Elephas maximus indicus: one gene and its partners. The protein of the gene in region 3 interacts with the protein of the main gene of each other region in a biochemical or structural test. Links are inferred from orthologs where the notes say so. Each region holds a gene or a part of one and is shown on either strand. Other genes may lie near its edges.

Evidence for each region.
Region 1: the proteins of NFKB1 (region 3) and DPF2 form a complex in vitro, tested with the Homo sapiens proteins (2 studies listed by BioGRID). The link is inferred for Elephas maximus indicus from reciprocal best matches to the Homo sapiens genes NFKB1 and DPF2.
Region 2: the proteins of NFKB1 (region 3) and ELF1 form a complex in vitro, tested with the Homo sapiens proteins (2 studies listed by BioGRID). The link is inferred for Elephas maximus indicus from reciprocal best matches to the Homo sapiens genes NFKB1 and ELF1.
Region 4: of the proteins of NFKB1 (region 3) and IKBKB, one has a biochemical effect on the other in vitro, tested with the Homo sapiens proteins (4 studies listed by BioGRID and IntAct). The link is inferred for Elephas maximus indicus from reciprocal best matches to the Homo sapiens genes NFKB1 and IKBKB.

Annotation. Positions count from the first base shown.
Region 1 is NC_064825.1:128,496,091-128,503,222, reverse strand, and holds the start of DPF2 (zinc finger protein ubi-d4), read right to left. Parts: upstream 3,008-7,132; 5' UTR 2,931-3,007; coding exon 2,899-2,930; intron 1-2,898. Other genes in the region: CDC42EP2 (cdc42 effector protein 2), read right to left, coding at 6,812-7,132. UniProt on the Homo sapiens protein: Plays an active role in transcriptional regulation by binding modified histones H3 and H4. Is a negative regulator of myeloid differentiation of hematopoietic progenitor cells. Might also have a role in the development and maturation of lymphoid cells.
Region 2 is NC_064832.1:40,374,948-40,382,107, forward strand, and holds the start of ELF1 (ETS-related transcription factor Elf-1), read left to right. Parts: upstream 1-4,153; 5' UTR 4,154-4,292; coding exon 4,293-4,364; intron 4,365-7,160. Other genes in the region: kelch repeat and BTB domain-containing protein 6-like, read left to right, coding at 4,071-4,153.
Region 3 is NC_064823.1:50,252,793-50,259,703, reverse strand, and holds the start of NFKB1 (nuclear factor NF-kappa-B p105 subunit), read left to right. Parts: upstream 1-3,904; 5' UTR 3,905-3,989; intron 3,990-6,911.
Region 4 is NC_064840.1:58,150,638-58,157,596, forward strand, and holds the start of IKBKB (inhibitor of nuclear factor kappa-B kinase subunit beta), read right to left. Parts: upstream 3,008-6,959; 5' UTR 2,850-3,007; intron 2,194-2,849; 5' UTR 2,176-2,193; coding exon 2,071-2,175; intron 1-2,070.

The DNA of each region.
Region 1 (7,132 bases), on a different chromosome or scaffold from region 3:
AGCCATGTCCTCACTACACAGAGGAAAACTGGATAAACAAGGCTGAGCGCAGCAGCTCCTTTGTTTCTGCTGATGGGAATTGATACTGACACTGGGAAGCCAAATGGAAGGAAGAACCAGACTGGCTGAGGGCTGCAAAGTCAAGAGCAAGGAGGCTGGAAGTGGACTGGGGGAATGGATGAGAGAAGTTCTGTAAAAGCTTTTGGGAGTTAAGTGGCATTTCAGAAGGTGGGCAAACTGCTGTGGTGGGTAAGAGGGCTGGAAACGAAGCATGTGAAGGGGGAAGTCTGATGAGGACTGAGCAAGGGAGGAGATAGAGCTTAAGAACTCGAGGCTGCTGTAGCAAGAAATTCCAATCAAATATTATTCTCCAGATCTTGTTAAAACCAGTCAGCAGCCACAGCTATTTTATGCTACTATCTTACCACCAGATGCCCCCTGAAAGCCCTATGGGGCAGTTCTACTCTGTCCTACAGGGTCATCATGAGTCAGAACTGACTCGACGACAATGGGTTTGGTTTCACCCTGGAAGGAGCCCTGGCAGTGCAGTGGTTAAAGCACTTGGCTGATAACTGAAAGGTCGGCAGATCAAACGCACAAGCTGCTCTGCAGAAGAAAGATATGGCGGTCTGCTTCCATGAAGACTGCAGCCTTAGAACCCCATGAGGCAGTTCTACTCTGTTCTACAGGGTCGCTATGAGTCAGAATTGACTTGATGGCAATCAGTTTTTATCTTACTCTGGTAAGACCCCTTAGAGATGGTTTCACTTCTGACCCCATATTTGGGAGGGACAGAGAATTTACTAATTGAAGAACTCTTCTCCCAGGACAAGATGTAAGCCAGGAAATAAGAAGTCCTGACCTCAAGGTATAACCTCAGCTGTCAGAAGACAGGCATACCACAATCAAGAGAAGCACCAGAAAAGCAGCTCTTTCCAGGGTGAGAATGGTACAGGCAGAATGGATGCCCCTTCTGAAAGAGAGAGTTCTGCCTGGAATGTATCAAGTGTGGTCCAGAGTCCTCTGCAGCTAGAACTAAGGAGGACATAGGTGGTTCCTCATTATTGGTACTCAGCAACCAGGGGCTGGTGACCCTCACAATCTCCTCAGTTCTTTAAAGAGAAATAAAAAGTCACGTTGTATTTAAAATGGGCAAGGCACCCCTTACCAACTACCTGCTATTTCCCTGAAGAAAGTCTTCTAGCATGAAGACCCTCATTACTTATAACTCTTAAAACCTAGGCAAGCCTGACATTTCCTCAGTACAGTAAGGTTCTCTAGGTGGCAGCCTTGATTCTTTCTCAGGGATGCGTTAAACCAGTAGAAAACCTCCCCTCACAATAGGATGGGGGGAGTTAACCATGGGAAGAGCAGGGGAAACAAAGAACATTTGAGTCAGGAAAGATAACTATAGAAATGGTAGATCAACATTGTCATTCCCAAATTGAGGAAAATGTCAGCCTGAGAAGACGGCAGAGGGGAAACTGGAGTGGGCAGATCAGAGAGGAAGATAATGGTGCTGGGAGGAGGGGCGGCTGAAAGAGGCAGCAGGATAGAGCAGAAAGCTAGTTAAAAAAAAAAAAAAAAACCCACAAGAGAAGGCACTTAGCTTAATGCAAGCGGGAAAGCATTCTCACAGAAAAGGCTCCAGGCAGGGGGAAGACGCAATGTACCCTTATAGAAGGCTCTGGGGAAGAGCAGGACTCAATGACAGATGAGAAGCTGTGAAGCCCTTAGAATAGTCCCCCAACCTTCGCCTTTTCACCAGCCAAAACCTAAAGCCCTGGCTGGACAGCTACCTCTTAATCTTCCTCTGCCTGCACCAAGCCCGTTAAAAAAAACTTGCCCTACTGGCCCACAAGAGAGCCCTGGTGGCGCAATGGTTAAGCGCTGGGCTACTAAGTGAAAGGTTGAAAGGTTGATGCTTCGAACCTACCCAACCTGGCGATCTGCTCCCCTAAAGATTACAGGTTACAGCCTAGAAAACCTTATGTGGCAGTTTTACTCTGTCACATGGGGTCGCTATGAGTGGGAATCGACTGGACTGGTACCTAACAACGACACTGGCCCACGGGGTATTAAGCCATCTCAAAACTCACTCGAATCCTTCTTCTGGGAGGAGCTGCGGTCAAACCAAGTCCCAAAGCATCTTTAAATTCACAGGAAGCAACTAACAGGCCATTCTCCGTTTTTCCGACACCTCTAACTCTGAACTCTGCCTGAAATCCGCCCAGCACAGCGGTATCGTCTAGGACCAGGAATGCAGACCTAGACGTCCCTCCAGGATACATGAAGTTGTCGGGACTGCTTCCGTTCAGTCCCCGATGTTTTGACGGCCGGGACAGGCCGGCACAAAGGCCCGCTCCTCTTAAGCGCTTTCTCTTCCGGAGCTGCTTCTCCACAGATTCCTCCCAAGGAGAGCTGGAGTCTGGGGTCCCTGACAGCGCGCCCCCCGCCGTCCCGGGCGGCTGGGACACTGGGCCCCGCAGCCCTTCCCCGCACAGGCTCCGAGCCTGTTGCTCCGGGCCGGCTGCGGGGAAACGGTCGGCCCCGCTCCTCCGACTGAGGCGTCTCGGGAGGGGACCCGGGATGGCGTGTCTTCCGCAGGCGGCAAGGGCGCCATACTCGGGGTGTCGCAGGTCCTGAGGGAGCGCTCAGGCCACCAACCTCGCAGGGAGGGCCGTTGGGGGCTCCCGCCTGCCCCCTCCGGGCCTCCACAAGTTTCCAAAGAAGCGCAACGTCTCCTCCGGAGCCTCCTGTTGCCCTCCCCGCTAGGAGTCGCACCACGGCCTTCCCGGGCCTGGCTCTGCCTTCGCCTCGTTCCCTTCCCGCACCGCCCCCACTCCCAGGCCTCTCACAAGACCTCCCGGGCTCGCAGAGAAAGAAAGGACCACTCACAGCTTCACTACATTTTCCACCACGGCCGCCATCTTCCCTGCTCCTCTCCCTCAGGCCGGGAGGCCCCGGAGCCCGCAGCGCGCAGGCGCCGGGGCCGCGCCAGGGAGTGCGTTTCCTCGTCCCTCTGCGCAGGCGCCGCCCGGGCGCGCGCGCTCGAGAGCGAGCGCTGGAAAGTAACCTCCGTGCCCGTTAGCGGGCGTCGGGCAGGAAAGGTGTGAGGGAGCCAAAGGCAGCCCGACGCGCAGGCGCGACCGGGGACGGGCGCGCGCCCCGCTGCACCTGTTCTAGTCCCGCCTCTTCCATTTGGAGGAGCGGGAGGAGGGAGGAAGGATCTGCCCCACACAGAAATGAGAAGGCAAAAATGTTGGCGAGAACAGCCAGTGTTCCAGGGATGGTCTGGTGGGAGCGCATGCGTCTTTAACCACGTGGTTAACCCTTGTGCCTTTACTCATAGATGGGGATTGGTGGTATGGAAGGTGAGAGTGGTGCACAGCCCACTTGTGCCCATTTTAGGGAAAGGAAAGGAAGGGGAAGGGAGGGCGACAAAAGTTACCTCATCTTCCTGCCACCAAACCTACCCACCGAACTGCACTGAATACGTGGATATGGGAACCAAGGAGTGGAAGTGGGAGGTGCAGCCTCTGGCATTCTCAACTAATGGACCCTTTTGCAAAATGTTTTCTGTTTCTGCATCTCTGGGCTGGGCTCTGTCTGGTTTAGAGCCTTCAGGATCCAAGGAGCCCCTGGGTGGCATGAATGGTTGAGTGCCACTACTAGCTGAAAGGTTGGCGATTCAAACCCACCCGGAGGCACCTAGAAAGTCAGGCCTGACGATCTGCTTCCAAAAGGTCACAGCCTTGAAAACCCTATGGAGCAGTTCTCTGCACACATGGGTTGCCATAGTGGGAATCAACTCCAGGGCAACTAACAGGACCCAAGGAAGGAATGCGTCCACCCGGGGCTGGGGAGCACAATAAGGATCTTTTTAAATTAGTAGCCAAGACTGTCAAGAAGGAGCCCTGGTGGTGCAGTGGTTAAGTGCTGGGCTGCTAACCCAAAGGTTGGTAGTTCAAACCCACCAGCCACTCCTCAAGAGAAAGATGTGGCAGTCTGCTTCTGTAAAGATTACAGCTTTGGAAACCCTAGGCACAGTTTGCCCTGCGGGCATTTGCTAATCTGGAAGCTATGACTGTGAAATTTAGCTACTGGTTGGCAGTCTTTGGGGACAGGGACAAAAATCAAAACGCAGAGTCTGTCCAAGGTAGGAAATCAGATCCCCGGCCCCCTCCTAGACACACACACACTAAGTTGGGACTCCAACTTCCTCGGACTTGCAGCCCTGATCAGGCTACCTGGGTGGTCCAAAATGAGGTCTGGGACACATCTCCTTGTAAAGAACCCTGACCAGCCAAGATACTGGCTGAAAGCCAACGGAACATGTTCTGGGCCATGAAGGAGGGGAGTTATTCATACCAGCTACAGCTTCCTTGTAGAAAAAGTCTGTAGCTTCTACGTGTGTTTTTTTCTCGCTGTGTCAAATATATTTTTTATGTATTTTCATCCTCCATTCACTCTTGTACATAGGGTATGTTGGTGGTAAGGAACTTTAGAATTACTTAACCGTTGCGCCACCAGGGCTCCTTAGGGTGCATGTATAAGGAACCCTGTTGGCACAATGGTTCAGTGGTCAGTGGTTTGAACCCACTCATCTGGTCCATGGAAGAAAGACCTGGCAATCTGCTTCCATAAAGATTACAGCCTAGGAAACCCTGTGGGACAGTTCAACTTGGTCACATGGGGTCACTCTGAGTGGGAAATCGACTCAATAGTACCTAACAACATTTGTATGTATTTTAAGAGTAAACACTAATATAAGACATGCATGGAAGTTGAATATCCATAACAGTAGACCCTTAGAAACACTGGTAATTTTTCTGGCTGTCCAACAACTTTTCTTCCTATTTTGGGGACACGGTACCTGAACCCCATTATAAAAGCTGAAGAGGTACAGTCCCTTTTCTCCCTACCCCTGGCTACCTTGGAGTAAGCTGGTAGTCCAAGTTCAGTCAGGTGCTTCAGGTCCCCTCCCTAGTTCTTTATCCACCCCATGTCACAGCCCTAAGTGGTTCCCGGGGTCCTTTGGCTGGTGCCTGATGTAAGGTGGATCGAGAGAGGTCCAGGGGGACCCAGCACAGAAATGTCCTCCTTCTGTGGCTACTCTGGCCTCAGCTCAGCTCCAGGGTGAGGTGGTGCCTTCAGGGTGGGTGCAGCAATAAGGAAGTGTCTCTTTTTCTTGTCTTTCCCTTCCAAGGCAGAAGAGAACAAACGCCCAAGCACTGAGGAGGAGCTTGCAGGCAAGAAGGTGCTGGGCCTTCAGCTCCCTAACCCTTTGCCTTCACAAACTTTACCAGGGCACTGAGGTACCAGAGTAAATGATGGTGAGGAACTGCTATGTGACAGAAATAGCACTGACCTTGGAGTCTGACTATGTGAGACTGAGTTTTAACTTCTGTAAAATGGAGCTAAAGATACCCACCTCACAGGGTTATTGAGAAAATTAGAGATCACTGTTCCAAAATGGTTGTGGTGTGTGACTTGGGGCTCCAGAAAGGCAGGACTCTGATGTTGGAAAAGTGGTTCAAATCACCTTAGAGCAGTTTTGCTTGCAAGGCTGAAGCTGAGGCAATGGGGGAGCTCCCAAAGGATTTGAAGCAGGAAAGAACAGTCAGACTAGGTTTCAAAAAGGCACCACCCAGGCCAGTGAAGAGCGGCCCGGAGATCACAGAATCACATCTGATCACCTTTATGTGCCCTGACACCACGGCACTGGTCCCAGCTGTTTTCTTCATCACACTGTTTTCTTCATAGCATCCACCATTGTTGGAAATCATCTTACCTGTTTACAAACGTTATCAACCTCCTCCCACGCTGGAATGTCAGCTCCAAGAGAGCAGGGATCTAGTCTGTCTTGTACCCCAGCACCTGGAGCCACACCTGGCACATGGTGGATGCTCAGTAAACAGCTGTGGCTCCAGCTGATGGGCAACACGGCCAGGTCTGTCCCCCACTCCTGCATGCTCCCCAGCCCCCTGATGCCAGAGAATCTCCCTGAGAGTCCCCTGTACAGCCTTTGTGCTTCGTCTTACCCTTGGGTCTCCTCCAACAGACCCTGGCTGCCTGGGCACGACCAGCCCCAAGCCCAGCCCACACCAGCCAGCACCCAACCAATGTGGGAACGGCCACAGTTGGTCACTTGGTCTGTTCCTGCTCCATCCTCACTACAGCCAGGGCCTAATCCCCACAAAGGCCTCTCGGACTGGGGTCCCCTGCAGGGTGAGTTCGCAGTGCAGACAGTGGCCCAGCTTCAGGAGGAAACCTAAGACAAACGGGACAAGGCATGGGAAGACAGCCACCAGCAGCACCAAGTTTTATTACAACCAGAATCCCCCAGTCATGTGGAAGGGGACTAAGCAGGACACCTTCAGTCACTGCTGTGATGCCCCCGGACTAAGATGTGAAGCCAAAGGTCCCAAACCTCCACCTGGCTGAGCCCTGCCTTCCTCACCCCCACCTCCCCCCACCAGTCAGGACACCCCACTGGACTGAGCAGAAAGGAGGTGAGAAGGGGAGTTCTCTTCAGCACAGCCTTTACCCAAGGAGTCTGAGGAGAGGAAGAGCCATTGTCGGGGGGTTCAGGGCTGTTTGGGCCGGCGCCTCTTGCCCATGTCCTTGGTGGGCTGTTAGGGGGAAGCCATGTGGGCACTCTGCCCATGGATGAGGATGGAGGGAGAGAAACAAAGGCTCAAAGTGAGAAACCACGGCCACCACCAAACAGGTGGGACCTGGGGTCTGCCTCCTAGGCCAGGGCTGTGTCCACACACTGCCCTGAATCTGCCCGGCCTGGCTGCAGGTGCTACGTGGGGATCTGTACGCGGTCCAGGTCCTGGTCCTGGTCCATGATCTGGAGCACATCATCCAGGATGGAGGGCCCCAGGTCCACGTGCAGGGAGAGCAGGGAGCTGGCATGGGACAGGAAGGGCTCCTCTGCCCCGGACTGGGGGGTCAGCCCGTTGCGGGCAGGGCCAGCCTCTGGAGTCCTCCAGATGTCCACGTCCCCTGCCTCCTGCGGGGAGGGCTGGGAGGAGGGTTGAGGGGTCTCCAGGTGCAGCCGAGGGGGTTTGGGTGGGGCCTGGGTGGGGGGCAGGGTGAGGGCCTGGGGTCCCCCGATGACTGG
Region 2 (7,160 bases), on a different chromosome or scaffold from region 3:
TAGTTACCTGGAATGCACCTGTTGCATATCTCTTGCACTGTACTTACAGCTATAATGAAGCTAATGTTTGTTGAGTACAACTTATGTGGCAAGCATTCTGCACATTCATTCTCCATTTAATCTTCAAAACAGCTCTAGATTTTGAACACTATTATATGCATTTTATAGAAAAGGAAACTGAACTTTATACCTGTTTTATAGGAAAGGGTAAACTCAGACAGGTGTAACTTGTCCAAGATCATATTGCAGAAGATTTGAAACCCAAGTGGTCTGGCCTGCGTTCTTAACCTTTTTGCTTTACTGTTTTACCTTAAATCTAAACTTTTGGTCGTAAGAGGCTAAGGAACCTTTTTTTGAAGTATTTCTGTATATATGTTTCCTCGAAGAATAAGAATTTGGTCCTGACCCAGTTGAAAGACATGAGCCAGCCTGGGGAGTTTTTATTATCTGGTGATGCCTAACTGAATGACTTCTCAAAACTGTGCAAATAAGTTGACTGCTTATGTCTGTGTGGTGAATGAACAGTTTTCACTTGCCTTTTCCTTGGCATTTTTTAAACACTAAGTGACACTTTGAAAATGACATGTGTCCAAAGCTACTAGTACAGTGGAGTGTTCTTGAATAGAATATTTATAACTAATGGTTTATAAAATTAAACAAGTTTTAAATTTACTCAAGGCATTGCAACATGGTAACCACAACCAAATCCAGTGCCGTGGAGTCGATTCCGACTCATAGCGACCCTATAGGACAGAGTAGAACTACCGCATAGAGTTTCCAAGGAGCTCCTGGCGGATTCGGACTGCCGACCCTTTGGCTAGCAGCCGTAGCACTTAACCACTACGCCATCAGGGTTTCCACAGAGACCTTTCTTTTTTTTCCCCTTTTTCTGACCACCCATATTTTTTCATCCCAGGGCAGATTTGAGGGATAAGATGATGAGCTCAGTTTTTAGTGTGTTTTAGACACTTTTGACTTGGAAGGGGCACTGACATGGATTGGATTTGGAGCTCAGGAGCAGAACTAGAGTTTGATACATACATTTACTTAAAAATCCATCTTCTAAACTATTACAGTATAAAGAATTTGGGTAGATTTAGAGGCAAAGCTATATGTTGTAGTCATGGGCAGAGTCTTGATTTAGGAGATGAGAATTTTATCTTTAGTTCTGTTATGCTTTCAGATCGTGAGACTTTGGGCACAGGGACTGAATTTGCACATATGAAAAAACTGAGTTACTGATCTAGATTTTCAGTCTTTTCTATTACTGAGAAAGTTCTAATATACTTGGGCTCTGTTATTTAAATATTTCTAATAAGTATAGATGATACCTCTGGATCAGGAACCAGAAAATGTGTTCCCAAGAACGACCTTGGCACCATAGAGTGTATAACTGTGCGGGGACGAGGAAGGGCGCAAGGAAGAAGACAGATCAGAGGCCCAGTTAAGCCAATAAAATAATACAAAACTTTACGTACACATTCTTCTATATAGAAATGCACAAAAGCTACATGCCAGAGCAAAGGTGTGGACAGTCATTTCTGTTTTGGTTTAATACCATTGTTCATCCTTATTTTTGAGATTTCTGAAACAGCTATTTAAACACAAATAGCAGTGTTGAAAGTGCTAGTAAGAAAAGGTATGTGATTGCAATGGAGAAGAAAGCGGAACTTTACATAGATGTCTTCACATTAATTATTGGGACAGTGTCACTTTGTACTTATGAACAGATGCATTTTGGAACAGCCATTTGGAACTTCACCTTTTTCAGAGAAGCTCCACCAGGAAACATTCCTTGTTTCTGGTTATACTTTCTTACTGTGGTTTTTCAAATTTTAGATAGTGGTTTCCTCTTTATCCCAAGTACTGCAGTCATATTTAATTTTATAAAGATTATATGTAAAAATAGCCAAAATATCTAAAGATAAATATTTAAAACAGTATCTGTAGACATTGGTAATTTCCCTAGAAAAGGTTTTGCTCTAGTTATTTTGGTACCTGGCACATAGCCTTGCAAATTGTAGGCACTCAAGCATTTGTTCACTTGAATTAGGGTACACAATTTTCAAATTGAGACATGTACTATTAGTGCTAAGTTGGTGGTAGAAGTAGTAAGTGCTATATTTCTGAAGGGAGTGATCCCTATGGGTTGAGGCATAGAGATTGGGAGGGTTTATGGAAGAAATGGGATTTGAATTGAGCATTGATGAATGGAAAAGATAATCAGTGGCTGCTGAGAAGTGGAAGGGATATCCCAGGTACAGGGAAAAGTAGAAGTTGAGAAAGGAGGCAAGAATGTACTTTCTGTGGAGGACAATACAAAGATAGGCCTAATATAGAGAAATTGGGTTGAGTATTTAGGGGACGTTTGACCCATGGCCAGATGTATGCCTTATGTTTATATATTTGTCTGTGATCAATTAGGTCTGAGAATTTTTTTCCCCACTGGATCTGATGCACTGCTCAAAAACTACCTGAGTGAGTTAAAAATAATTTCCCAATGTTGGAGTTGTGATTTGTTTTCATTGAACTCACGGTTAAGGGAATGGGGTGGATGGGTTTGGGAGAGTGTGGGATTAGAATCTAGTGAGTAGAAATACTAGCTAAATTGATTTTTTATCTCTGGTTTTATTTTGATTCCCAGTTAAGGAGATCAGCCAGCCGTGATGACCCGTAGAGCTCAGAATATATTTAGGGAATTGGCTTTACTGAAATTAGGAAATTGAGTACATGATTTGGGTAGCACATACTCCAAACCCAAAACCAAACTCAGTGTCATGGAGTCTATTCTAACTCATATAGGACAGGGTAGAACTGCCCCATAGGGTTTTCAAGGTTGTAAGCTTTACGGAAGCAGACGGCCACATCTTTCTCCTGCAAAGCATCTGGTGGGTCCAAACTGCTGGCCTTTTGGTTACCAGCTGAGTGCTTTAACCCCTGTCCCACCAGGGCCCCTTAGCACGTACTAGCTGGATTTAAGTTTTGAGGGCAGCTGATCACTAGGTCAGCTGCATTCCTAAACTTGTCTCTTTTAAAATTATTAGGAAATTAATGGCCCATCATTTCCCTGGAATTAGCTGTCTTTTGAAATATTTATGTTAAAATTATAAATGCTATTTCCAAGAACAAAGTGTTATTTATTGTGATTATTTTTATATCTGTCTTTTCATGTCACATTAATGACCATGGCAGCATGATGCAATTTTTAATAAAATTGTGATAAACTCTTTAAGTTCAGTTTTTTTATTTTTTATTTTTGTTAGTAGTAACTCTGTTTTTTTTTTTAACAAACATCTCTGGCAGACATTTTGAAAGTATGTCTCCCTCCACTCTGAAATTGTTTTCACTCTTAAGTTGCGTTTCTGTTTTTCTGCTATTGTAAAGTGCAGTTCTTTGCATGTTCTAATTTGCCATGACGTGGTCAAGTGCTGCTTCCTTCCTGTTGCTTGCAAACCGGTGCTAGAGATAAGGACACATTTCAGTGCATTAAAAAAGAAGACTTCTACTTACCAGAAGCCCTTTTAGAGAACAGAAGGAGTGGTCTCTGCTTTTATTTTCCGCTTATTTTAAAAAGCTGCTGAAATAATACTTATTAAACCTTAAATGTATTGGGCCTTTAAACAGATTTTAAATCCTTTCATGTATTAAACCTAACAGGAATGTTGTCTGAATGTTTCTATTAAAGACCAAAATACACTTTATGAAATTACTCATGGAGCAGCCATGCCTATGTAGGTGGTTTCCTGGTTAGTGAGAGGAAGGACATTGTTTATGTAGCCTTTATTTCAATTACAGATGTCTCATAATGCTAGAGTTTTTTTTTTTTTTTTTAAATACTCATTACTTTAACTGTAGTGTAACTGGAGGGGGGTAGGAAAGACTTCATTTTCACTAACGAAAGGTACTTTAATCTTAGCAGGGATGAAATCTTCAAAGACTAACTTAAAAAGGCCTGTGTACTAATCAACTCATGTTGATTTTATTTAAAAACAGCAATTCTGTATTGGATGTTATATTCTAAATGGTTAGAATTACTTTTTCATAGCTAACTTAAGCTTTTTGTTTTTCAGGCCAAGAAGTTCCAGAGAGAAAAAACTGCCTCAGTTTGAATACAATATCAGTGAAGCAAGAAAATTTGAAGCACCTTCCCTAAAGAAAACCTGGGTGTACAGTAACTTGACAGACTTAGCTGTGGGCTTTTTTTTTACTGAAATTCATCACTGGACTCTGCTGCCTGATACTTGAACCTGTTTGGAATTTTTCTTATGTGGATCTAAGGGGAATGCTTTATTATGGCTGCTGTTGTCCAACAGAACGATCTAGTATTTGAATTTGCTAGTAACGTCATGGAGGATGAACAACAGGTAAGTAACCCAGAGAATGCTGGATTTTAATACATTTATTTGTATGATTTCTCCATTTGTATCAGAAGATTATTTACTTGAAAAGATAATAAAAGAAACTTTTATATAAAAGTAAATTTCTTAATTTCTAAATTAAAAATTTGGAGGTGATGTACTCTTATGTTTTACATACCAGTTAAGTCATAAATTATGAATCTTATCTTTAGCTTTGATATGGTAACAAGGAAGTAATACTTAATGGGGTTCAGCTTATTTTTCTGTAAAATGAAACAGCAAATGCCGTAAGTAATTATTTCAAAATACTTTGAAACATGTAAGTTCTAGAGGCACACTAACAGGACATGTAAATGGCATTTTGTAGCATAGAACTGGTTATTGTAATAGTTGCTTACAACTTTACAGTGTTATACAGTTTTAATATGTGAAATTAACATTTATAATTGTGGGCGATCCCATAATCATCCATCATTTCAGTCCACGGCGCGTGACTCTGAGGAGGTTACACAGTTTCTCTAGGTCTTGATTTTGTCATCTATAGGATGAGAGAATTAGACTGAATGATTTCCAGTTTATACAAGATGTACAATTATTCTTTCCAGAATGTAATTTGGGGAAAAAAAAAAAAAATCTAAGCGATATTGAGTAAAGGATCTAAGATGAATTGTAGTCTTTTTTTTTTTTTTGGCTAGAGTTTCTTGGGATTTGTATTTTCCGAGTTCATTTAAAAAACAGGGTGTATGAGGTGTGTAAGATATATTATGCAAGTGTTGAAGGACTCAGTTTACTGGGAAAAATATTTTGTAGACCAGTAGCTTTAAAGTAGTTTTAGTAAGAATGATCTATATACTGAAATAAGCCTCATGTCAAATACCTAATTGGAATAGGCCAACCATGATATATCATGCTTCTATTCTAAAAACTTAGTTACTACAAATAATAAAAATTGATTTCTACTTTTGCTAGGGCATTATAATTTCTTGGCTGTTTGTATTATGCTAACATTGAATTGACAGAATAAAAAGTATATAAATAAACCTACAAAAGCCAAGAATTTGAATGAAGATACCTTAAAACCAAGATGACCTCTGGCCAGGGAGGAGAAAGATTTGAGGGAGAGGACTGGTTGGTCCCAGTTAAAACTACATTAATAATTATCTGGGTTTAATCTAGAAAGGATAGAAAAGATATTTTAGGGGGAGGAAGTGTTTTGAATTTCTTCTAGAGCCGGATGTTTATCTATATGTTAAGGTTTGAAAACAGCGTGTTTACTGTGCAGCCCTCTTAGATGAAAGATCCTGTGTAGATCCCAGGCTTGACGTGATGAGGCTTGATACCAGGATGTGGCAGCAAAGAACAGAGCTATAAGTCACTCACCAGTACGCTCCAGTGTAGTGGCTTTGCACTCTTTGGTCTCTAAGAAATACATCTTATGTTATGGCTCAGTATATATACATGTGTCTACATTGCCTTAAGAAAAAAAAGTCTTCACAGAACAATGCTTATCTTTACTATGTCGAATGCACTTAATCTGTCTTGCTCAGAGTGGTTAATTATGTCTGCATAGAGAGATGGTGCTCTGAGTTGGTCATCAAAATGGGTGTGTGTGTTTTCTTAGTTACTTACTTTTATCTGGAAACCCTGGTGGCATAGTGGTTAAGTGCTACAGCTGTTAACCAAGAGGTTGGCAGTTTGAATCCGCCAGGCGCTCCTTGGAAACTCTACAGGGCAGTTCTACTCTGTCCTATATAGGGTAGCTATGAGTTGGAATCGACTCGACGGCAGTGGGTTTGGTTTGGGTACTTTTATCTGGCAAAAAAAATTTTTATTAGTTTTGTGTAGGCATTGTTGTAAGGACTTTACAAATATTAACCATATCAAGTAAGTACTGTTTTCCCTATTTTACAATGAGGAAATTGAGATAGTGGTTAAGTGACTTGCCTGAAGTCATATTGCTAGTCAGTAATGGAGCTGAAATTTGAACCCAAGCAGTTGGACTCCTGCTAACGATGTTGAATACTCTAGCAGTGATCCAGGAGAACTTCACTGTATTGAATGTTTGGGGGCAGTTAGCCTGGTTTAGACTTTTTTCATCTATGACCATGAGTATAGTAAACCACTGATTCATAGCGGGATAGACCCAGGGATGTCAATCTTGTTAGCATCTTGTCTAACCTGTGGCTTTACCTTCTGCTTTTTTTTTTTTTTGGTTGGCTGAATTTTGTTATGTTTGTTTTAAATAATAATACTGTATTGTGTTTTTGGTGACAGTTTATAGAACAAGTTAGGTTCCCATTTGACAATTTCTGCACAAATTGTTCAGTGACATTAGTTACATTTTTTATAATGTGCCAACATTTTAATTGTATTCTTCTTCCATTTCCAGTATTCCAGTTTCTCTGCCCCCTTATCTTCTCATCTTTGCTTTAGAGTAAATGTTGACCTTTTGGTCTCATACAGATGGTTTTTAATAGAACACCATTCTCATGGTGGTTTAATTTGTTCTTAATTACGTAAATAATACATAGGCCAATTATAAAAGAAGTCACCTAATACAAAAATATATTTTAAAAATACTGAAAATCTCTCTGAATCCCTAATCATATTTTCTTCCCCAGAGGAAACCAGAATTTACAATTTGATGTATAATTTTTTAGACAAAAGTATAAACAAATGAACAATATACATATACAAACCAAACTGAACCCAGTGCCGTTGAGTCGATTCTGACTCATAGTGACCCTATAGGACAGAATAGAACTGCCCCATAGAGTTTCCAAGGAGCGCCTGGCAGATTTG
Region 3 (6,911 bases):
TATTCTGTCAATTCCTGGTTCCTTGTTTTTTCACCAGTGTCTGAAGTGCAGCTTGGACTTCTTCCTTCAATACTATTGGTTCTTGATCACAAGCTACCTCCTGATATTGTTGAACATAGACCGATTCCATAGCAATTGTCCAAACCAAAAACCAAACCCATTGCCATCAAGTCAATTCTGACTGACAGTCAATCCTACAGGACAGAGTAGGACTTCCCATAGGGTTTCCAAGGAACGGCTGGTGAATTCAAACTGCCAACCTTTTGGTTAGCAGCCAAGCTCTTAACCACCTCGACACTAGGGCTCCGTAGCAACGGTAGTGAATATTCATTTAAACTGACAGAAAGATGCTAGTGTCTATAACATCAATGATATTCTCCTGTTAAATTTATTGATATCTCCATTTCTTTGCATTTTCATTGTCAAGAGAATAAAAGTCTGTATTCTACATGTGATCTTAAAAGAAAGATGGTTTCTTTGCCCTTTTCTATTAGGTTTATTCTTGATGATACAATCCATTGTAAAAATCACTTTTGTCCCGGTTGCTACATAAGAAGTCATTCTTTCTGGCTTTATTTGAGGAGCAGAGATTATATCTTCTTCTTTTGTAACCACTTATAGAGACTAATTGAGCACTCTCTCTATAAGATCTCAATTAACTGTGCAAACACAAGACAGAATACAGCAAGCATTTTAATGGAGGTGTAATGAAATGAAATATTTCCCTATCAGTAGGGAGAGATGCCACAAAGATAAGTGTATGGCCTAGTGGTCAATGGTGCAAAAGTTTATTTCTCTTAAAATTACGAGGAAATTAATTTCAAGTCCTTCACCTTCAAATAACTGCTTATAGTAGTACAGGCCTTCATCTCCCTTCAATCCTTTCTAGAACTCTGTGAGGTACGGCTATAATGTCATGCTTATTTTACCAGTGAGGAAACTGAAACTCAGACAAAGTAATTACTCAGATACCAAACCAAAAGCCAAACCCGTTGCCGTCGAGTCAATTCTGACTCATAGCAACCCTGTAGACAAGTAATAGACAAACTACTACTCAGCCAAAGTCACACAGGTAATTCAAGGCAAAGCGAGGACTCCAACTCAAGTCTGATTTTGAAGCTAGTGGAATCTTTCCATTTTGTCATTGCTCCTATAGCCAAGAACTGTGCCCCAGGTGTTCCTAAGCATGTTGAGTTGGCTCCATGACCCAAAGTAAACCATATGCACCCTTTATCGAAATACAATTCGCTCCTGTTCTATCCTCAAGATGGACCATGGAGTTTATGATTCTGTATTTGTGAGTCTCCGTTGCACACTATACAATTCCTCTTTATCAATGTATACACTATACAGATCTCAACCTCAGCATTCTCCAGACACCAACATTTCCAAACAGGGTTTTGTGAGAAGGGAAATTCTTGTGGTCCCAAATATTTTAGTGACAAACAACATGACGGGCCTTTTCCACAATCTCAATGCCTAAAATCCCGCACTTAGGCTTTTTTTTTTCCTTTGTAAATAAATGATAAATGTAAATATCCCTTGACACTTTAGGGTGAATGCATTTGTAGGCAGCATTCATGGAAGCAAGTATGAAGACAGTTTAGACAGAATTTTGAGAAACAAAGTAGCAATACAGAAAGGTTAACTGGTGATTAGAAAAGAGTAGACTAGAAACTTTTACAGTTTTGTCTGCTTCATACCTCCACCCCCAATTTTAAGTTCATTCTGTGGGATCATTGAGAATTGAAAATCTAATTTAATCATTTTCACCAATTAACACCTTTAATATTCGTTCACAAGAATGTCACAGTGGCTTCACACTTGTAACAATCCTGTCCCTCCATCATTTCTCCAATGAGGCTGCCAGCCCTGCTGAAAGAAAAGCGTGCGAGCTCACCCCTGTCCCATGAAGAGATACAACTCTCCTAACACTTTATTGTCTCCTGGGAGTCTGCAACCTTTGCACGCATGTCAGTGGCAAAAATCACTTCACAAACTATGTATCAATTGACTAAAATATAGTATTGGCAAAATTTATAATAATATCCTGTAAATAGTAACACAGGATTTATAAAAATTCATTAAGCCTTTAAAAAAAAAAAGTTGCCATGGAGTCGATTCAAACTCATGGTGACCCCATGTGTGTCAGAGTAGAACTGTGCCCTGTAGGCTTTTGGACGGCTGATGGATCTCTGGGTGAATTCTAACCTGCAACCTTTCGGCTTGAGCTCAGTTAACCATTTGCACCACCCAGGGACTTATGAATCCCCTGAATTCCAACTATTCACTCTAGAAGCTAAAAGAAGTAGCTTAAAGGTAAATTGTTGAGCAATCCAAAGATCACAGGGGCTCACCTCAGACCAGTTTAATCCCAATCAAATGATCCTCTGCTCTTCTGCCAAACGCTTCAGGGGGAAACAGGCCTGCAAGGCAGAGCGGAAACTTGCTAGGGGCAATCTAGTATCTTGCAACACTGCCTGGTTGTTACCTGATTCCTGACATTTTAAAAGTAAATTTGCAGAATTGTCACTGAACTCAGTAGTGGGAAAAAAAAAATTTTTTTTTTTAAAGGTGCTCTAAAACACACATCTGTTTCAGCTCAAGATGTCTTATCTGGGGAGCTAATCCACACCAGGGCATCCCCAGGCCCGTGCCTAGCACAATGCCTGGCATGTAAAGAAGCTCAAATGACCAGTGAATGCTGGTCACTGACAGGCTCATCTGTGGTTTCTAGTAGCGGTCCCTTCAGAAAAACAAACAAAACAGAAAATTTCCCTGCCAGATCAGTATGTATTTATGGGCTGTGACCGGAACCATTGCTACCACCATCACTATAGTCTATCCACAGTAATTATTATAAAAGCCTAGCAATGCCCTGTAGATGAAAGTTCTGGATAACTGCCATATAACCAGGGGGTTTAAGATCTCACTAAAAAAAAAAAAAAAATTAAAAGTAGATGTTTATACTTCACTGGAAACAAATCAATTATAATATTGAAATTCCAGTTTAAATCTGAAGAGACGTGAGTGTAATTGAGACATACTTAAATGGAACACACAGATGAGATTTATTTTTATAAACGGTATGCTTGGATCCTTGCCGACCCATCCCCTCCAGCGGGTCGGGCCTGCGCTGAGGGGCTCTATGATGGTCCGACTCTAAGAACTGCACAGCCTCCGCCTCCGCGGCCTCCGCACCGCCTGCTTCCAGGGACAATCCAGCCCCGCCGGCGCTTCTAGGGGGCGTCCCCACTCGGGAGCGCCCAACCGGCAAGTGGCAGCCCCGCATGGGGCCCCAGCGTCCCGGCCGCCTCCCTCACGCCCCTCGTCCTGCGCCCCGACGCGGCCCAGGAGGGCGGGAGCCGAATTAGGGTAGCGAGGCCGGGCCGGGGGCGCGCGGGGCCCCCAGAAGTGCGGGCTTCCCCCACCCCCGGCGGCGACCCCACCTCCCGCCTCCGCCGCGTGCGCGCGTGTGTCCGTCTGTCTGTCTTCTCTCTCGACGTCAGTGGGAATTTCCAGCCAGGAAGTGAGAGAGTGAGCGAGAGAGAGAGCAAGAGAGAAGTGCACCAGCGAGCTGGGGCAGGAAGAGGAGGTTTCGCCACCGAAGCGGCCCGGCGACGCGCTGACAGCTTCCCCTGCCCTTCCAGTCGGTCGGGCTCCCGCCGCCGCCGCCGCCCACGGCCTGCGCCCTGCCGCCCGCCCCGCTCCGAGAGCCCCTCGCCACCCAGGCCGGAGCCGCCGCGGCTGGGAAGACGGCGCCGCTGCGGCCCGGCCACCGCGCGCCCTGCGCTTCCCTCCGCCCGCGCTGCGGCATGGCGCGGCGCTGACTGGCCCGGCCCGGCGAGACCGCGCGCCCTCCCGCTCCTACCCGCCCCGCACCCGGACAGCTTCGACTCCGGCCTCTTCGTCCCCGAGCCCCCAGGCCCGCGCTGCCCCGGACGGGGAGCCCACAGGCGCAGTGAGGCCAGCGCAGACTCGCGACCACGGTAAGCCAAACTCGGGCCAGTGGGGGCCACGCTAGGAACGTGTGGCCCGAGTCCCGCCACCAACCCACCCCGCACCCTCTACAGCCGTGCTCGCACTTCCTCATTCCTGCGCTAACCGCTGGGCTACACCGTAGGAAGAGGTTGACAGTAGTTGCGAAGCACATGGGATTGGCGAGAGAGGGGAAAAGACATCCGGACATCGCAGGCGCCGATCGGCCGAAGGGCCGCAGCCGCTGGGGCCGTCCTTTCCCTTCCCCTCCATGAACTCCAGCTGGGAACGGGAACCTTAGGGGAACTCTTTGCAAACTTTTTATTTAATCCTCACCCCCACCCCCGTTTGGGTGGTGGAGAGAGGGTTGAGATGCACTGTGGCGCGGAGAAGACTGGGGAAGGTGGTTGGTGCAGTGCTGAACCAGATTTCACCTAAGGGCCTTTCCATAAAATGAAAGCAGAAGTGCATGTCAGTCGTCTTGGCTTGGAAAACCCTCCCTAACTCCTCAGAATTGTATAGGAGAGGCTTTCTCTTCCTTCTGTTTCTGAAAGAAACCCCATTTCACATACCCTGCACACACCCCAACCGGGATATAGTATATTCACCTACTGTAGAACCTGTACGTTAGTTTTCAAAAATAAGAAGGGCCTGACATTTGAGAGGGAAAACAGACTACCTACTTAGATCACTTTTGAGGCCTCTTGATTTTGTAGAACACTTGGACAGTGGCACGTGCATAATCTCTAAAACAAATGTTATAAATAAAGCTTATCCCAAATGCAAGTTTTCCTGGGGTCTTTAAAATACACCCAGATGAGGATGTTTGCTCTGATTCATTGGTCTATCCTGAAACTTAAATAGGACTTAATGCAACAGGATTTGATTAGCAAGGTTTCAGACCTATTTATGGACTTTGTTAAGTAGGGTTTTTCAGTATTGTATCTTATGAAATAACCATATTTAACGTAAAGATTTTGTTATAAAGCTTATGAACGGAAAAACGATTATGGATTACTAAAACATTTAATGGCTTTGGCATAAAAATGTTCTTCCACCAACTGGTCATCTTTGATAAACACGAAAGCTTGGGATCTAGATGTTCGGTGATTATTTTTCTAGCAAAATTCTTCAACTGAATATTCTTGAGTAGTTTACGTGATTGTTGGTTAAAACTTTAACAGGAAAACTTGATTAAAACAAAGACCTTAGCTGAAGAATATTGTTTTCCTGATTTTAATATTGTGCTTTCTAGAGATGAATCCTTTTACCATCTAATGCACTATAGAAATCGTGTAAATAACTTAAAGCAAAAAAAAAAAAATTTTTTTTGAGCTTCTGAGATTGGGGAGATAGGAAATAAGAAATTTGTTTCCTGTAGCATTTTACATTTATCATGTAACTGAGTTGCTAAAATGAAATGAACATATATGATAAGGGAAATGGGGACTCTCCTGAGATGATTCATCCTTGTTGATATACCTGCAACTCCTAATGCCCTCCAGAGCTTGTTCAGATAAAATGTCTTCCTGGGCCAAAGCCTACTGGACAGACTGGAACACAAAGGAAGACTCATTACATGTAGATTTAATGCTGAAATTAAATACTGCTTGTTGTGAGTAGCAAACCACTTCTAACAAGTTTGAAAGACTTTTTAAAGAAAACAGTACAATCCTATTAGGACTTGGTGGTAATTTGAAATGCTGTTATCTTTGCTTTGAAACTTCAATTTATTGGTATTTTCTGCAGTTTGCACTCACTTGGCCTGAATAAATGCCCCTGTTGTTCAAACTCAGTTAGTAAATACTGGAGTATACATACAAAATAGTCATTCCCCTTTGTAAGCACTACTTTGATCTTTGCACTTCCTTTTTACCTCTTAAACAAGATCATCTGTGATGACTGAATTGCAGTTGCAGGAAGCTCAATTAGTCTGAAATGAGGCAGGATTTTAAATTCAGTAATCATCTAGCTCATATGTCTCTTGTCATTGTTCCTTTGAACAAATTGAAGGTAGTTTGAGAAGTTAATATCTATGTACGGCTTTTTAAATTATTATTACTGGTTTCAAACGTCCAGATAATGATGAAGTGTGTTACTACTTAGACTTTCAGGGATTGTTCATTGTGGTAGAAAGGAGGTCCAGATAAGGAATTGGCGGCTACTTGGATCTTGGAGTATCATTCAGTCAGCAAGGCCTTAAATGTTTTACCTAATTTATGAGAGGTATTCCCCTGTTCAGAAGAGGTGAAAGTTCTGGCTTCTGGGGGGAAGTGGTTACTCATAACCTTCAATTAGTTTGAACTTGGGAGAAATAAGAACAGTAGTTGGCATTTTAAAACAGTAAGTTAAAAATTATGTCTAAGTTCTCATATGGATTTTTGATAAAGCACTATAAAAAAAATACCATCTTTTTCTTCTTCAGAGTTCATGAGGAGTAAATGTGCTGCCTGAGCACTGGCGAGGGCCCAGTGGGAAATGTACTTAGGACTGCTGAGTAGTTTAGCCTGTAAAGATTCAAGTTATGCTCTCCTGGTCTGCAGATCTAGCTGGAAAGGAACCACATTAACAGGAATGAATGTATACAAATCAGTGTCTTACAGAGTTTCTGGTTAATTTGTCCTACCTTTTATAGGAAGGTGTCTTTTTTTTGGTTGGTTGATTGGTTTTCTGTTTATAATATGAATCCTATATGTTTTGATTGTTGGAAGAGGAGAAGGAAGAATAGAATTTTAGGACTGGAGGAGACTGTAAGACGTTTTGTTCCTGTTCCTACGTTTACGTCTGATCAGACTTTTCTCTCAGTTCAATGACAACTGCTTCTTGGTGACCAGTAAACCACACTGGAGCTATTTACCCTTGTTGCTGGGAATTATTTCTCATTTGCGTTCTTGCACTTCCCATAAATACTGAACTCACAGTGTTCATAGTTA
Region 4 (6,959 bases), on a different chromosome or scaffold from region 3:
CAAAATGGCAGCATATGAGGTATGCCAACTGAGTGAAGCTGAAGGAATTCAACAGAAAAACGAATTCCCATGGAATGAAGCAGCCTGTGATGGGTTTACGGAGGAGGTGGCCTAGAGCTGGTGCCGGAGGGACGGACGGGCAGAATTTATGTCAAGGCGTTGAGAAGGATGCTTGTCCCAGAGAAAGGACTCAGCCAACCAACCTGTCAGGAGCCAAGAGGGAGGAGAGGCTAGAAAGACAGGGTGGGACCTGACTGTGGAGGAGCCTCAAACGACAGGATGAAGAGTTCGGCTTTGTAAAAATAAAAAACAAATTAAGGTTTTTGAGCAGGGGATGGGAGTAATTCTAGAAAACTGTGCCAAAGTGGTTAAGCGCTACAACTGCTAACCAAAAGGTCAGCAGTTCAAATCCACCAGGTGCTCCTTGGAAACTCTATGGGGCGGTTCTACTCTGTCCTTTAGGGTTGCTATGAGTCAGAAGGGACTCAGCGGCAATGTGTTTTGTTTTTGTTTTTTTTTTTTGGTTTTTAATCCATACACAGGGGTCTGGTGGCACAGTGGTTGAGAGCTCAGCTAGTAACCAAAAGGTCGGCAGTTCGAACCCATCAGCTGCTCCTTGGAAGCCCTATGGGGCAGTGCTACTCTGTCTTTTAGGGTTGCTATGAGTCGGAATCAACTCGATGGCCAACGGGTTTGGTTTTTTTTGGTTTAATCCATACATACGGGAACACGTTCTTAGGCCCATATTGATAAAGCTGGAAACAAATTCTACCTTGCAATATCCTGACTTTCCAAGTCTAGAGAGCATACAGAAGTCATTCTGAGCTAGAGATGACAGAATTCGAGAATTCTGTGGGGCTGCAGAATGATCAAAGCCCTGGTGGAGCAGTGGTTAAGAGCTTACCTGCTAACCAAAGATCTGCAGTTCAAAGCTACCTGCAGCTCCTTGGAAACCCTACTGGGCAGTTCTACTCTGTCCTGTAGAGTCACTATGAGTTGGCATTGACTCTACGGCCATGGGTCTTTTTTTTCTGCTTTGGTAGAGTGATCAGGTTCTTCTGTTTTTTACTGCTAGGCCCCTGGCTATACTCTGACCAGGACAAATTTGAGCCAGTTGTATTTCTCAGGCATCCTCAGCCATAGGGTTTGTTGGAACCCTAGTTCCCACATTGGGAGAGAGAATATTACCACCTGCAAAACTGTACTCTGCCCTCCAGCTCCAGCTCTGACATCCCTCCAGGGGTTGCTCTGCCCATTCAGAGCTGATGGGATTCAGGCAGGGCCTGGAATGTCTATCAACTAAGTGATAAAGAAGGGTGGCCGTCTGAAGTAAACGCCTGACATGGCTGGCCAGCAGCCTCAACGCCCCACTCTGCTCGCTGCAGCCAGGTTCCTGGGAAGAGATGAGCAATTTCCCATCCCTTAAGTCCAGAAATGGAGCCCTGGTGGTGCAGTGGTCAAGAGCTACGGCTGCTAACCAAAACGTCAGCAGTTCGAATCCACCAGCTGCTCCTTGGAAACCCTATGGGGTAGTTCTACTCTGTCCTATAAGGTCACCATATGTTGGAATTGACTCAACAACAATAGGTTTCGTTTTCTGGTATAAATAACTTAAAATACATATAATTGAGGCTGAGAGCTTAAACTTTTTTATTATTTATTAAGGCCAATAAAATTTGGAAACTACTAACCTAGAGTTGGTGCCCTGATGGTGCACTGGTTAAGAGCTTGGCCGCTAGCCAAAAGGTTGGCAGTTGGAATCCACCAGCTGCTCCTTGGAAAACCCATGGGACAGTTCTGTTCTGTCCCACGGGGTCGCTATGAGTCAGAACTGACTCAATGGCAACAGGTTTGAACCTAGAGTCAGCTTAGCAGTCCTGATGCCTCCTTCCTATCCCCCTTCTCACTCTCTCCCAAGAAGCTCAGGGCAAAAAGTGTAACCCACTCACCTACCCCGAACAACGTGGGGCAGAAATCTGCAAGTGCCCTGAGACAGTAAAGGTGAACCCGACACCCGCTCTTCCAGCCCTCTGCCCACCCCTGCCTCTTCCAGGCTGCACAGAGCCCTACCTGATTGTGCCATCGGATGACGTTTCCAAATGCCCCTGTCCCAAGTCGTTCCTTCATTTCCCAGGGCCCACATGTCTGAGTTGCCAGGGAAGGTGACCAGCTCATATTGATGTTGCGCTAACTCTGTAAGTAATTCGGGGTGAAGGACAAAAAAAGTTAAGAAAAAACGGGGCAAGTTCCTGCTCAGGGAGATGGAGAAGGCAGGGCATAAGTTTTGCCCTTCAATACGACAGGAAAAAAAAAAAAAAAAAACTGAACTGGTTTTTATCTTGTAAATAAACCAGGTTTTTTTTGTTTGTTTGTAGTTTTAGGTAGTAAACTTCTGTCTTTCTCACCCGCCCTCCAGTTGTTGTGGAAGGAAGTAGAGAGGAAAGTCACTCAACTGAGGTGATGCCCCACACCCCATGACCTCTAGAGGGGATCCCCTTCCGTGCCCGCATTCTCCCGAAAGCAGCAGGGAGGGGATCTAGCTCTGCGCGCCACCACGGTCACGTGCGCCTCTACAAGGTCCCAGAGAATCACGGTTCTCTCTCAATGCCACCCACCTCTAAGCAACCACCTGGAACCCCTCTGGCCAAGGCTGTTCTCCCGGGCCTCCCAACTCCAACCCGCTAAAGGGAAACACTTCCATGTCGGCAAACACCTGATTTTTAAACTCGACGAAAGTTTCTACGGCAGCCTCTAGTGAGGAGATGGAGAGCCCGACCGGGGCAAGGAAGACGCGGGGTCCGCAGGTGGGCACCGCAAGGCTTCCGCTCCCTCCGGCCCGCGGGACTCACCTGTCGGCAGGGACGCCTGGCAGGGGAAAGGCTCCCCGGGCCGGGGAGATGGGGGCTGGGGCAGCACAACCGGGGGCTCTGACACCACCCCGAAGACATTAAAATGCGGGAATCCTAACCCAGCCAGCAGAGAGCGACTTCCTCAAACACTTCCTGCTCTGACGTCACCGCGGCACGTGGGCCTGCGACCGGCTCTTAAAGGGGCCGCCGCAGAGCAAGCCCGGGTCACTCCCAGTGCCCACCGGCGGCCGCGCGGAGCTTGGGTCCCCCCCGCGACCCCTGCCCGGGTGACTGCCCCGTCCCCCCAGAAAGAAAAATCCAATCCAGTAGTGTAGTGCTAAACTAAAGTTCCAGTCTCAGTGATGTGGGGAGTCTCAACTCTGAGGCTCATCTCCTACCTGCTTGGCATTATCATGAGGTCCTCTACTAGTGAGTTTCTCAGTCCTAATCTTAGTAGACAAAGAAGTTTTTTGTATGTTGGTGTATTTTACTCAAGAGAGAAAAGAGATTAAAGGACCCTGATAATAGTTTATAGAGTGCTTACTAAGTGCCAGGCACAGTCCTAAACTCTTAGATTTCCTCTTTTAATCCTCACCGCAACCCTATAAATTAGATAATAGCTGTGTTACTATTGTCACCATTTTACAGAGCAGGAAACTGATGCACAGAGAGGAAAAGTTTTTATCCCAAAGTCATAGGGCTAGTAAATAAATGATTTGAGATTCAAACCCAAGCAGCTGGTTCCTGGGCCCAAACCAGTTGCCTACGAGTGGATTCCGATCGTATAGGACAGAGTAGAAGTGCTCCATAGAGTTTCCAAGGAGTGGCTGGTGGATTCGGACTGCAGACCTTTTTGGTGAGCAGCCATAGCTCACTGTAGCTCTTAACCACTGAGCCACCAGGGCTCCTTCCTGGGCCCATGCTCTTAATATTTGGTTAAAAGTAGCGTGCTAAGAGGCTCAGAAGGAGGCAAACTAGATTTTGAATCCAGATACTGCTACCGACTACCTCTAAAACTTTAGTGCAAGTTACTTAATTGCTCTAAGCCTCAGTTTTCTCTTTAAAATGGAGGCAATATTAGGTTGAATTGCATGAGATTGCCTTTAAAAAAAAATGCACATTTAGAACTGTCGTTTTGTTGAAACATTAACAACGATCAAAGATCAGCAACCTCATTTAGTTCGGCTTAATAGCAGCAGGAGGACACAGAGTCACAGGAGGAGATGCCAGCAGGGTTGTGGAGAAGAACAGATGAACTCATGGTGAAAGCAGTGCCTGGCACAGAGGACATGCCTGTCACCTAAACAGAGCCAGCAGGTTGATCTTAACTCTTAGGAACAGGTGTCCACCCAAACAACCAACAACTACTTGAGCAAATAGTTGTAGAGCGCTTGTTATTGTTGTTAGTTGCCCTCCAGTCAGCTCCAACTCACGGTGACCTTATGTATAACACAACCAAATGTCACCATCTTCACGATCACTGGTATATTTGAGTTCATTGTTGCAGTTATTGTGCATTTTGAGTGCCTTCCAACTGTTACAAATGAAAGCTTCCACAATATTAAATTTGCGTACAAACTCACAAGCTTTATTTTTCAGTTCATGAAAATTGGGTCTGCAAGTCTGACAAGCGCTCTGAAGAGCAGGACAAAGCAAAAGGGTTATTTTGTCACAGACACACAGGAACAAGGAAGACACACTAGGCAAATTTTGAATTGGCTGGCAGGCATTTTCTTTCTTTATTTGGGATAAAGGGGCAATTTTGAACTAGATTAAACTCAGCAGGCAAGTCCTAATTGGCTAGCTTAGGTTTTAGTTTCAGATTTTGGCTCCTGGTAAGACAGGGAGCAAAGGCCCTGAGATCGGAGGGTGCCCGTTTGAGAAATAGCGAAGGGACTGGGGTGGTTAAAGGAGAAGCAAGTAAAAGAGAAATAGACTATACTATCAGGGAGGTAATGGGTTGAATGTGGAACCTAGAGACTTAGTAAGGCAGAGAATGGAGGGGCCCCCAAATGTGGAAACAAAGTAACAAGAAATGGGCCAGGGCACAGAAACAAAGCCATTCCCCAGAACAATGGGAGAGGGTATCAAAAAATAGCTTGCAAACTTCTTTAAAATTGCCTTTCAGAAGCAGCTGGGAAAACCAGGCCCAGGGACATGCGCAGAACATCCACCTGTGACTGCTGTGTGACCTTCCACCAGGGGCAGAGAGGGGCTACAGCCCCAGCCGGGGAATTGAACCCAGGGAGCGAGAGACTGAGCAGGCACGACACCCCACAAATCCCAGAGGGCTCTGAGACAGGAGCCGTCTTGGAAAGCTGCTGTGTGCGCACCTTCGTTAACATGTCCCCGCCTGTGTCTGTGAATAAACATGAATCTTTTCCCGCCCAAGAACTTTTAAAAACTCAGGCCCGTCTTTAAGAGGGTAGCGTTGCTCTAGGCCCTCCATATCACCGCTTGCAAACCTCTTCAATAAAGCTTTGCTCATGCGGAAAACTCTACGTGCCTTACCTGCTCGTTCTTGACCAGTAAGAGGCAAGAACCTTATTCCGGTAACACTGAGAAGGTCAAGCATTTACAGGAGTAGAAACTGGCTAGGTTTTGGTTTGCTAATGTGGGGCTAGCGTAAGTAACTCCATCTTGGGCCCACTACAGTAAGGTTAACGCTACGTAGGGGGTCATCTTCCAGTACTATGTTAACAATATTCCATTGTGATCATAGTGTTTTCATTGGCTAAATTTTGAAGTAGTTCACCAGGCCTTTCTTCCTAGTCTGTCTTAGTGTAGAAGCTCTGCTAAAACTGGTCCACCATGGGTGACCCTGCTGGTATTTGAAATACCAGGGGCGTTGCTTCCACCATCACAGCAACAAGTAGGCCACCACAATATGACAACCTGAGAGATGGGTGGTGGTGTAAAGCACCTTCTATAAAGCTCTTAAAAAAAAGAAAAAAAAAACCTGTTGTAATAAAGTCAATTCTGACTTATGGCAACCCCGTGTGTTTCATAGTAGAACTGTGCTCCGTAGCGTTTTCGGTGGCTATAATCTTATGCATGTAGATTCCCAGGACCTTCTTCCATGGTGCTGCTGGGTGGATTAGAACCACCAACCTTTTAGTTAATAGCCAAGCTCAAGCCATTTGTGCCACCCAGGTAAAGCCCTTAGTGCCTTGCATATTCCAAAAACAATATAGGTACTTGTATAATAAATAAATGAAATGTATGCGCTCAAAATATTTCATTTATTTATTATACAAGTACCTATATTGTATTTAGAATATGTGAGGCACTAAGAATATGCACGGCACTACCGGAAACCCTGGTGACATAGTAGTTAAGAGCTAAGCTGCTAACTAAAAGGCCAGCAGTTCGAATCCACCAGGTGCTGCCTGGAAACCCTAAGGGGCAGTTCTACCCTGTCCTATAGGGTTGCTATGAATTGGAATAGACTGGACAGCAATGGGTTTGGTTTTTTGGTTTGTATGTGCTGGGCCCTATGTAGAGTCTGTTTTTTCCCATATGATGCCATGAAAGGTTTCTCTTTAATTCTGTCACTACTGAAAAATCACTGTCCATGAGAAACTTAGGGAGGCATCGTTGATATGCCAAAGGTTTCCTCACTGTACAACTTTAAGAGTTCTCATTTTGTTCAGCTCAAAATAACTTAGTTTTCAACCGAACATAAATCTCTCTGATGAGGTCAGATGCAGTACTAGATTTTTAAAAAGAAAGGGTGATGGCTCAGGAAGGGGCCTCTGGGTTTTATCATGTCCCAAGATATTTATCATGTTAAACGCTCTTTTCCCTCCAGATAAGACATGTCCACGTCACTGCCTACATCTGCTAGCAATCCTGCTCTGGAGGATATGAGCGGACTGTTTCAAAAGATATTTTCAGCTGCAGCAGAAAAACATTCCTTTTTATTCCTGCTTTGAGGCTGTGTGCTATTGAGCAGTGACTATAGGGTAGGGTCCCTATGAGTTGGAATCCACTTGATGCCAACAGGTTTTGGTTTTTTGGTTTTTTAAAGGGCAGGGCCACCACACATCACAACTGGACCAATGAGCAACATCTTGATAAACAGAAAAAATATTGAAATTGCTAAGGGTT